Mus musculus: one gene and its partner. Each later gene encodes a partner of the first gene's protein in a complex. Links are inferred from orthologs where the notes say so. Each region holds a gene or a part of one and is shown in the gene's direction. Other genes may lie near its edges.

Region 1 (3,808 bases):
GATTAGAATGTCTAGGTAAAGGGTGATAATAGTTCTTTGTTTTTTTAGAAATTTGGCCTAAGTGGAGGGCCATCAACTGTCCTCCATCTGTGGAACCACCGTTCTCCCTCAGTGACCTCAATAGTTGTGCTAGAGTCTCACATTGATCCATTATTACAGTAGAGTAACTCTGATGGAAGCTGTGGATTGCTAACTGGATCAGGTAGTCCTGGCTCTGGTTTTGGCAACTTGCTAAGTGTCTTTTTGCGCCATGGACCGTGGGAGGCTCTTAGTGAAATTGCAAGCGATTGGATTAATGGCAGGGCTTCGAGAGCACATTAAGAATGTCTTTTTAGAGAAATAAAGTGTAATGACTATAAAGTAGGAAGTGTGGGGGACAAACGCTATCCCAGGGCCTCAGTGGAGAGATCGCTGTGTTTTGCATAAATAATGCAACTCTAGCTTACCCATCACTCCCAGGTCTTGAGAGGATCCCCAAACTTACACATTTCAGGAATGTGTGTGTGTGCTACAGAATTAACACCGATGATGGATGTCAGAGTTAATAATAGCCCAAAGAGCTTTACATTTGAAGTAGCTTAAAGAAGATAATGATATAAAAATATTCTTGTCCCCAAACTGGCTTTTCTGGTTGTTCACTGCCTCCTGACAATGGAGTCTTCTGTAAGCTGTTTCCCTGTAGATCAGCCAGTCTGAAATTTAAGCTCTTAAGTTTCTACTCACAGGACCAGGAGGCTTGGTGCTTCAGTCTTCTAAGACTCAATAGGGAGTTAATTTAGCTACTAGAGACTGTGGGTGAACCAAGAATTAAGTAACAGCAATTACTATAACCAAAATTATCTGGGAAAAATGGTGTTATTTATTGAAAGTGTGGTTGTGTTTTTTTTTTTTTTTTTTTATTTTAAACCTTCTCTTAACATTATTGTCTTCATTTGTACTTATCAAATGGCTAGCTGTTTTCAATGCCTTTTTGTTTGTTTGAGTCTCATAACATAAATGAGGTGCTCTAGACCTCAGAGATCTGTCTGCCTCTCCCTCCCTAGTGCTGGAATTATAGGCGAGCTCCATATGTGTAGCTCTTCATGGCTTGCTTGGGTTTTTTGTTGTTTTTATTTTTGTTTTTGTTTTAATATTTTTTATTATTATGTATTTTCTTCAATTACATTTAGAATGCTATCCCAAAAGTCCCCCATACCCTCCCCCCCACTTCCCTACCTACCCATTCCTATTTTTTGGCCCTGGCATTCCCCTGTACTGGGGCATATAAAGTTTGTGTGTCCGATGGGCCTCTCTTTCCAGTGATGGCCGACTAGGCCATCTTTTGATACATACGCAGCTAGAGTCCAGAGCTCCGGGGTACTGGTTAGTTCATAATGTTGTTGCACCTACAGGGTTGCAGATCCCTTTAGCTCCTTGGATACTTTCTCTAGCTCCTCCATTGGGGGCCCTGTGCTCCATCCAATAGCTGACTGTGAGCATCTACTTATGTTTTTGTTTTTTTTAAGCAAGAGAAAAATAACACATAGACATTTTCTTGTTTTCTTTTTTCTTTCTTTTCTTTTGGGGGAATGGAACTCTTAAAATGTTAATTAGTACAAAATGTGTATAGTTAGATATTTTCTGGTAACTTGAAAGTCTCAATTCAAGCTTTACTAGATAAAGGCCACAATCAACCCTGAAGATCTGATGCAACCTCTTGTAACAGTTGCTTCCTAAGTGTGACCCCTGAGGCCTCCTAACTCACCAGCAGCTGTAATCTATACATTGAGCATGAAAATATAAAAAATTGGTTTTCCTACTTGACTGTGCCTGGCTGCCCTGAGGAGTGTTAGTGAGGTGCAGGTGCTGACGGGGGAGGTCAGAGATAGGGCTCGGAACTGGATATCTCGAAAGCTTCCAGGCAATGTCCATGGCTCCGGGGCCTGGCCTGTGCTTTGAAGAGCAAACATGTGGAGTCCAGCCACCGTGCTGCAATGGTAGAAACTTGTATACATTTCAATCATGACATCACCTTCTTGGACTTGGACTGATTCAGATTGGTGCACATTTGTGAGCACTAGGAGGCGTGGACGGAGATTGTCAGAGGGTGCAAGAGCAGATAGTGTGTGGGGGCTGCTGCTTGTGACTTAAATAAGCATTTGATGGTGGACTTAATGAATTCTAAGAAGCTTAAGCTTTGCTCCCAGTTGACTTAGAAACCTAAAAGGCAGGCAGGCACTGTTTCCACGGCTGAAGTTGCGGGCTCCCCACGTGTGCCATGGTGTGTTATCACACATATTCTCCCCTTTCCACACAGAGCATGATCTCCTCCATTGTGAACAGCACGTACTATGCAAATGTCTCAGCAGCAAAATGTCAAGAATTTGGAAGGTGGTACAAACATTTCAAGAAGACAAAGGATATGATGGGTAAGCAAAAAAAAAAAAAAAAAAAAAAAAAAGAAAGAAAGAAAGAAAGAAAGAAAGAAAAAAAGAAAGAAGAGAGAGAAAAGAAAAAAAAAGCCCATCCTTTTGCAGTGGCAACATACCATTGCATGTCATTTGGGGGTTTATCAAAGTCACATCGAAAGCCAGATCTTTTGATTGCCCAATTAGAGATCAATTTAGAATGTTTCTTTGGGGGTGGGGGAGTGGGTATGAGTATAATGAGATAATTAAATTCAATAAATGTTTGTGTTTAAATCAGCTACACCGACTCGGTTGTCAGACATGCAGGAAATCGAGGCGTGAGGAGAGCTGTCATTTCGTAACATCTCAGTGAAGACCTAACCAGGCCTTGAATAACTAATACCGGCTGTGACTTCTCACAGAGATAATCATGCTTAGGGACTTTTGCTTTTGTTTGCAAAAAAGAGGAAGAGCCCGTTTTCACAGCAGCTTTCAAACAATATTTAACTGCCTTTGACTCGCTAGAGACAGTTTGGTTCCACCATTGAGATGGAGTGGTTTTTATAGCTCCAGCTCCCGTAGGTAGGAGCTTGCTTGCCTTCCTACCTGGAATAGAACCAGCACTTTTCATTTCTGAACTTCCAATTCTAGTCTAGCACCCTCTCTGCACACACAGCATTAGGTCAACATTGTTAGGCAGCATCAAGATGAGCCGAGGTATAAAACGATGGGTCACAGTTGTGTGCTATGGCGGAGCATTTGGAGTCTGGCATGTTCTCTGTTGTGGATCTGTTAGAGCTCACAGGAGCACACACTATGGTTAAGGGTAATATACCTTCCTCTTTCATACACTTCTAGATACTACATCTTAAAATCAAACAGGAATGGGGTGCCTCATATACAAAGTGTTATGCCCTATTGTAAATCTTTATCACTGTTACATTCACTTAATAGTAGCAATAATAACTTTTCCTGAAGACTTAGAGATAAGAATTTTGAGCATGTTTTAGCTTTTAATATTTGAAGAAAAGCCATCCATCTACCAAAACGGATTCTTTGCCTTTTATAGCTTAGGGCCGTAATGAAGACAATACATCAATTTTTGGAATAATTGCTTGAATTACTGTTCCATGCGAATGGCCCACTTGGGCTGATGTCACTGGTAGAAACTAAGGGTTTCTTTCCATTCTTAGTTATATTTTGCATATAACATTGAGTATAGCAGTATGACCAGTTCCTCTGATTATAAAATCTGCATCTTTAATGAGAAGAGAAACGATGATTAAAAGCCAAATAGAGCTTATCTATGGAAAGTGTGGACATCTGAAAAGGTTTACCTATTTATATTACACTCTGGTCTCAGCCTCCCTCTAGTCTATTCTGTGTAGCAGCAAAAGCGTTTGACACACTTAGAGCTGACT
Region 2 (4,567 bases), on another chromosome or scaffold:
ACCTCCAGGTTTCCCTCCTTCCCCCCCCCTCCCGCTTCCCGGCAAACTTCTCTGCCTTTTTCTTTTCTTTCTTTCTTTAAATACTCACCACCACCCACGCGGACGTTACACTGACAGAAAGTTTCTAGTTCCAGCTCTCCGCTGAGTTGCCATTTCTCTGCTAAGCAGCCTTCTCCTCTAGGCTAGGCGACAGAGAGCGAGGAGGGGGAGGGGAGGCCAGAGCCGTGGGAGTTCTCCGGGGCAAACTTTCCACCCAAGTTAGCGCCTTCCCTCTGTCCCCATTTCCCATCTGTTTCCTAGATCTCCCAGAATCACCTTTCTCTTTGGCTCCCCCCTCCCTCAGGCCTTTTTAAGGGATATGCAATTTAGGTTGTTCCCTCTGCTTTCCCAAAGAGCCAAATTCTTTGATGCAATCGGAGGGAGCTGTCAGGGGGCTAAGATTGATCGCCTCATCTCCTCTTGGTCCCTCTGACCCACTTATTTAAAAATCTTCCCCCAGCCGACTTTTCATTTTCAGCTTTGAGGCCTAGTTTCCCACCAATTTGCTTGTGGCTCTGAGGTTTTTTTGTTTTTGGTTTTTTTTTTTTTTTTTTTTTTTTTTGTTGTTTTTTGCCTCCTTCCTCTAGTAAATCACAATATTCTAAAATTGAGCCCATCATAGGTGCCTCACCATAGAATACATTACATTTTTTTTTCTCTCTGGAGGCCCAAAGCAGAATATAATCTCAGTGGTGGTCATTATCCCCAGCCCCCTCTCCCCCACCATCTTTAGGAAATGTTTTCTTACCAGGGATTTTAAAAGTAGCCCAAAGGCAAATACAGAGGGGGAAATCCCTTTGTCCAGAGGGCGACTGTGCACTGACTTTAGCTTTGAAAGTTAAGTGGATGGCTACTTTGGTGCCCTGGATAGAGACACAGATACACCTGGGGGCCTGTGAATACATCTGTCACCTTAGACCTTCTTAGACCCTCCTATTGCCAGGGTTGGGGTGTCACAGTGTGAGTACAGATGACCCCAACAGGAAGGCAAGTGGACATAAGAAACTGCTTGTAAATTCTGAGCAGAGACTAGAATCCAGGGCACATAGCAAGGGAGGTAGGCCCATGTCCCAAAGTGCTCCTGGAATCTATGTCCCTGCTGCGTGCCAGCTCTGTGCATTTCTTAAGTGTGAACTACTGCTTTCTGAGGGTGGGTGGGCTGCCGCTGCTGCTGGTGTTTAGTGCTGTCCTTTATCCATCTCCTTTCTGATTTCCCCCAAGGTATGGAAGCCTCTTTCTACTCCCACTTCCCCCTAAATGAGATTTTTTTTTCTTTTCTTTTGGGGGCTGAGGTGGTGGTAGGGTAAGAGGCTACTGAGGGCCACATAAAGAAAGCATATTAACTCACTCCATTTCTCCCTTAAATGTGGTTGTTTGCCACCACCACACAGTCTCTGAAGGGAAGGAAGAGGTTCTTTTGGCTTTTCTGGGAAAAGAGAGCCATTAGGGAGAGTGTAGGGTACTGATGAAGGAACAGGGGTAGAGGAGGAAGCCTCATGGTATCCAGGTCGTGGTCCTCTGGAGTTTTTGAATCAATTAAAGCAAATAATGCCTGTGTTTTCCACTAGGCCTAGACTAGCGATTGGCGGAGACCGGTCCCGTGACCATGAATTCCCTGCAATTTCGGCGGAGTCCTGGGTTTAATAGAGAGAGTCCCCATACGCTTGTATTTATCAGCAATATACAATTATAAAGGCCTAAATTTAAAAAAAAAAGAGAGAGAGCGAAATCTCCCCCCCCCCGCGAAATTGCTCCATTGCATAAACCTGGGGGGGGCGGGAGAGGGGGGTCCCTCTGATTCTCCCTCCTGACGCCCCCCCCAGCAGGCCCCCTCCCCCACCATTGAAAGCCATGAATTTTGAATTTGAGAGGGAGATTGGGTTTATAAACAGCCAGCCATCGCTCGCCGAGTGTCTGACTTCCTTCCCCGCTGTCTTGGAGACATTTCAAACTTCATCAATCAAGGAGTCGACATTAATTCCTCCTCCTCCTCCTCTGGAGCAAACCTTCCCCAGCCTCCAGCTCGGCGCCTCCACCCTTCAGAGACCAGGGAGCCAAAAGCAAGCCGGAGATGGGCCTGCTCTGCGGTCACCGCCGCCACTCCCCGTTGCCCCCCCAGCCCCCGAGTTCCCCTGGATGAAAGAGAAGAAATCCACCAAGAAACCCAGCCAATCCGCCGCATCCCCTTCTCCAGCCGCCTCCTCGGTCCGGGCCTCCGAGGTCGGATCACCATCAGGTGGGTAAACGTATTAGGGGCGGGGTGAGGGGCAGTTGGAAGAGAAGGGGAGAATGTGAGGTGATGGGGCTCCTGGTGGGGTTCCCTAGGTCGACGGATCTGGGGCGAGGGAAGCAGAGTATCCCGCTGGGGTTCAGGCCTAGCCACTGTTAGCTTCCCCACCCCCAGAAAATTTTGGAAGCTGATTGAGGGTGGGGAGGATGCTTTTTTTTTTTTTTTTTTTTTAAATGTGCTTAGAAAAAAATGATTCGATTGAAGGGTTTCCCCGGTTTCTGTGTAGAGGAATGAAGCGTGTCTGGGATTGAATCTGGAGCCTGGAAAAGATGCGATGCCTCTAGCTCTCCTAAAGCTAGGGAAGAAGAGGGAATTCAAAAGCTAGGAAGGAAAGGGGTGAAGAACAATCTATGATCCCTCTCTCCCCAGGTTGAGTTGGAAAGTTCTGAATTGAGGGGTCCATTGGGAGGACTTGGGGGAGGGAGACTCTGAGGTCCTGGGAGCTAAGAGAAATTGCTCCCCGCCCCCTACGTGGCCCGTGGGCGGCTCTGAAGGCACCGACTTGACCCGGGCCGGGTCTGCCTACGTGGAAGAGCACTAAAAAAAACCCCAAAGACACAGAAAGAAGCGCTGTGGGGGTGGGGTGGGAGCCCGAGTAGGACTGCTGAGAGTCTTTTAAGCCAAAGGGGTGCTCCCGATCTCAGCTAAACGGAGGCTGCGTTGAGACCTCTCTGATAACATAGGGGTGCTTCCCTCGCAGATGGCCCCGGATTGCCAGAATGCGGCGGCAGCGGCTCCCGCAGACTGCGCACGGCCTACACCAACACGCAACTGCTGGAGCTGGAGAAGGAGTTCCACTTCAATAAGTACCTGTGCCGGCCGCGTCGCGTCGAGATCGCTGCCTTGCTGGACCTCACCGAAAGGCAGGTCAAAGTCTGGTTCCAGAACCGACGCATGAAACACAAGCGGCAGACGCAGCATCGAGAGCCGCCCGAGGGAGAACCAGGCGGGCCGAGCGCCCAGGACGACGCGGGAGAGCCAGCCGAGGAACCCACGGTCAGCCCGGGCGACGTCGCGACTCACCGGCTGCGGGAAGCCTGCTTCCACCCCGCCGAGGCCGCGCAGGGACCCCGGGGCGCACCGCCGTCAGCGCTGCCTGCCACCACCCTGGAGAGTGTGGGCGCATCGAGCCCCGGCTGCACAATGCTCAGAGCCGGAGGCCGGCAGAGCGAGCCCCTACCCGAAGACGCCTGCCCCGAGCGGCAGGATTCGCCTTTTCTACCGGACCTCAATTTCTTCGCTGCAGACTCCTGTCTCCAGATGTCCGGAGGCCTTTCACCCAGCCTGCAGGGTTCTCTCGATAGCCCCGTGCCCTTTTCCGAGGAAGAGCTGGACTTCTTCACCAGCACGCTCTGTGCCATCGACTTGCAGTTTCCCTAACTGTTTTCCATCTTTGGTCCTTTCCGTCTGGTCCTCCTTGGCTGTTGGGGGCGGGGGGAATCGGGCCTTCTCCACTCGTGGATACATTTATGCCGTTTTGTTAAAATCCAGATAGTAACGAATTAGCGTTTCATTCACTCCTTTTCGCTTTTTAAAACCACACACAAAAAATTCCACTTGGTAAAACTCCTTCCAACGAAATCTCAGGAATAATTAAACTCTAGTGGGAGAGGGTTTTCTTACAAAGAACTAGAGGGACCTATTTTCCTCTTTTTTAAGTTTTAGATTGTAGATTATTTATTAAAATTGTTTAATAATAGGAAAGGGGGAAAGTATTTATTGTACATTATTTTCATAGCGTAAATAAATGTCTTTATAATATGAAAACGAGTGTTTGTGTTGGGATCTAGCTCTTTTTGCCAAGTCCCTACGGCCAGTCTTTGCTTTCCCACTCTCCGCTTGAAGTTGGTTTAGCTCTGGCTCAAGCGACCCAAGGGAAGGCATGGTCCCATCTCCCAGGCTGACAAAGTCCGGGTGGTACAAAAGGGGCCCTGCTTGGTGACTATTTCTTTGTCCAAGACACCAGGAAGAGTTTATGGAAGCTTGGTTCATCTGCAAACAGACCGTTTCCAGTCCTGCTAAGATGTTCCCTGGGTCCCTGCTTGGAAATAAATGTGGGGTGGGTGGAAAAACAGCGTTCTGGGGGGGGGGGTGCAGAAGCGGGTACAAGAAAATGTCTCAGAGGCCAGCTTTGAGCCTTGGAGGCTGCGCAGAGGGTTAAAAGAGTTGAAGGAGAAATCCTTGGGTTTGCTAGCCTGCGGGCTTTGAGTCTGCAAGCTTAGGCCGAGGCCTGCGCTG

The links.
Region 2: Satb1 (region 1) and Hoxb2 share a complex: the UniProt entries of both Homo sapiens proteins name them as parts of the nuclear protein complex. The link is inferred for Mus musculus from reciprocal best matches to the Homo sapiens genes SATB1 and HOXB2.

Annotation. Positions count from the first base shown.
Region 1 is NC_000083.6:51,784,129-51,787,936, reverse strand, and holds part of Satb1 (DNA-binding protein SATB1), read left to right. Parts: intron 1-2,296; coding exon 2,297-2,408; intron 2,409-3,808. UniProt on the Homo sapiens protein: Crucial silencing factor contributing to the initiation of X inactivation mediated by Xist RNA that occurs during embryogenesis and in lymphoma.
Region 2 is NC_000077.6:96,349,921-96,354,487, forward strand, and holds Hoxb2 (homeobox protein Hox-B2), read left to right. Parts: upstream 1-1,711; 5' UTR 1,712-1,890; coding exon 1,891-2,275; intron 2,276-2,502; exon of another isoform or gene 2,503-2,679; coding exon of another isoform or gene 2,680-2,698; intron 2,699-3,029; coding exon 3,030-3,709; 3' UTR 3,710-4,096; downstream 4,097-4,567. UniProt on the Homo sapiens protein: Sequence-specific transcription factor which is part of a developmental regulatory system that provides cells with specific positional identities on the anterior-posterior axis.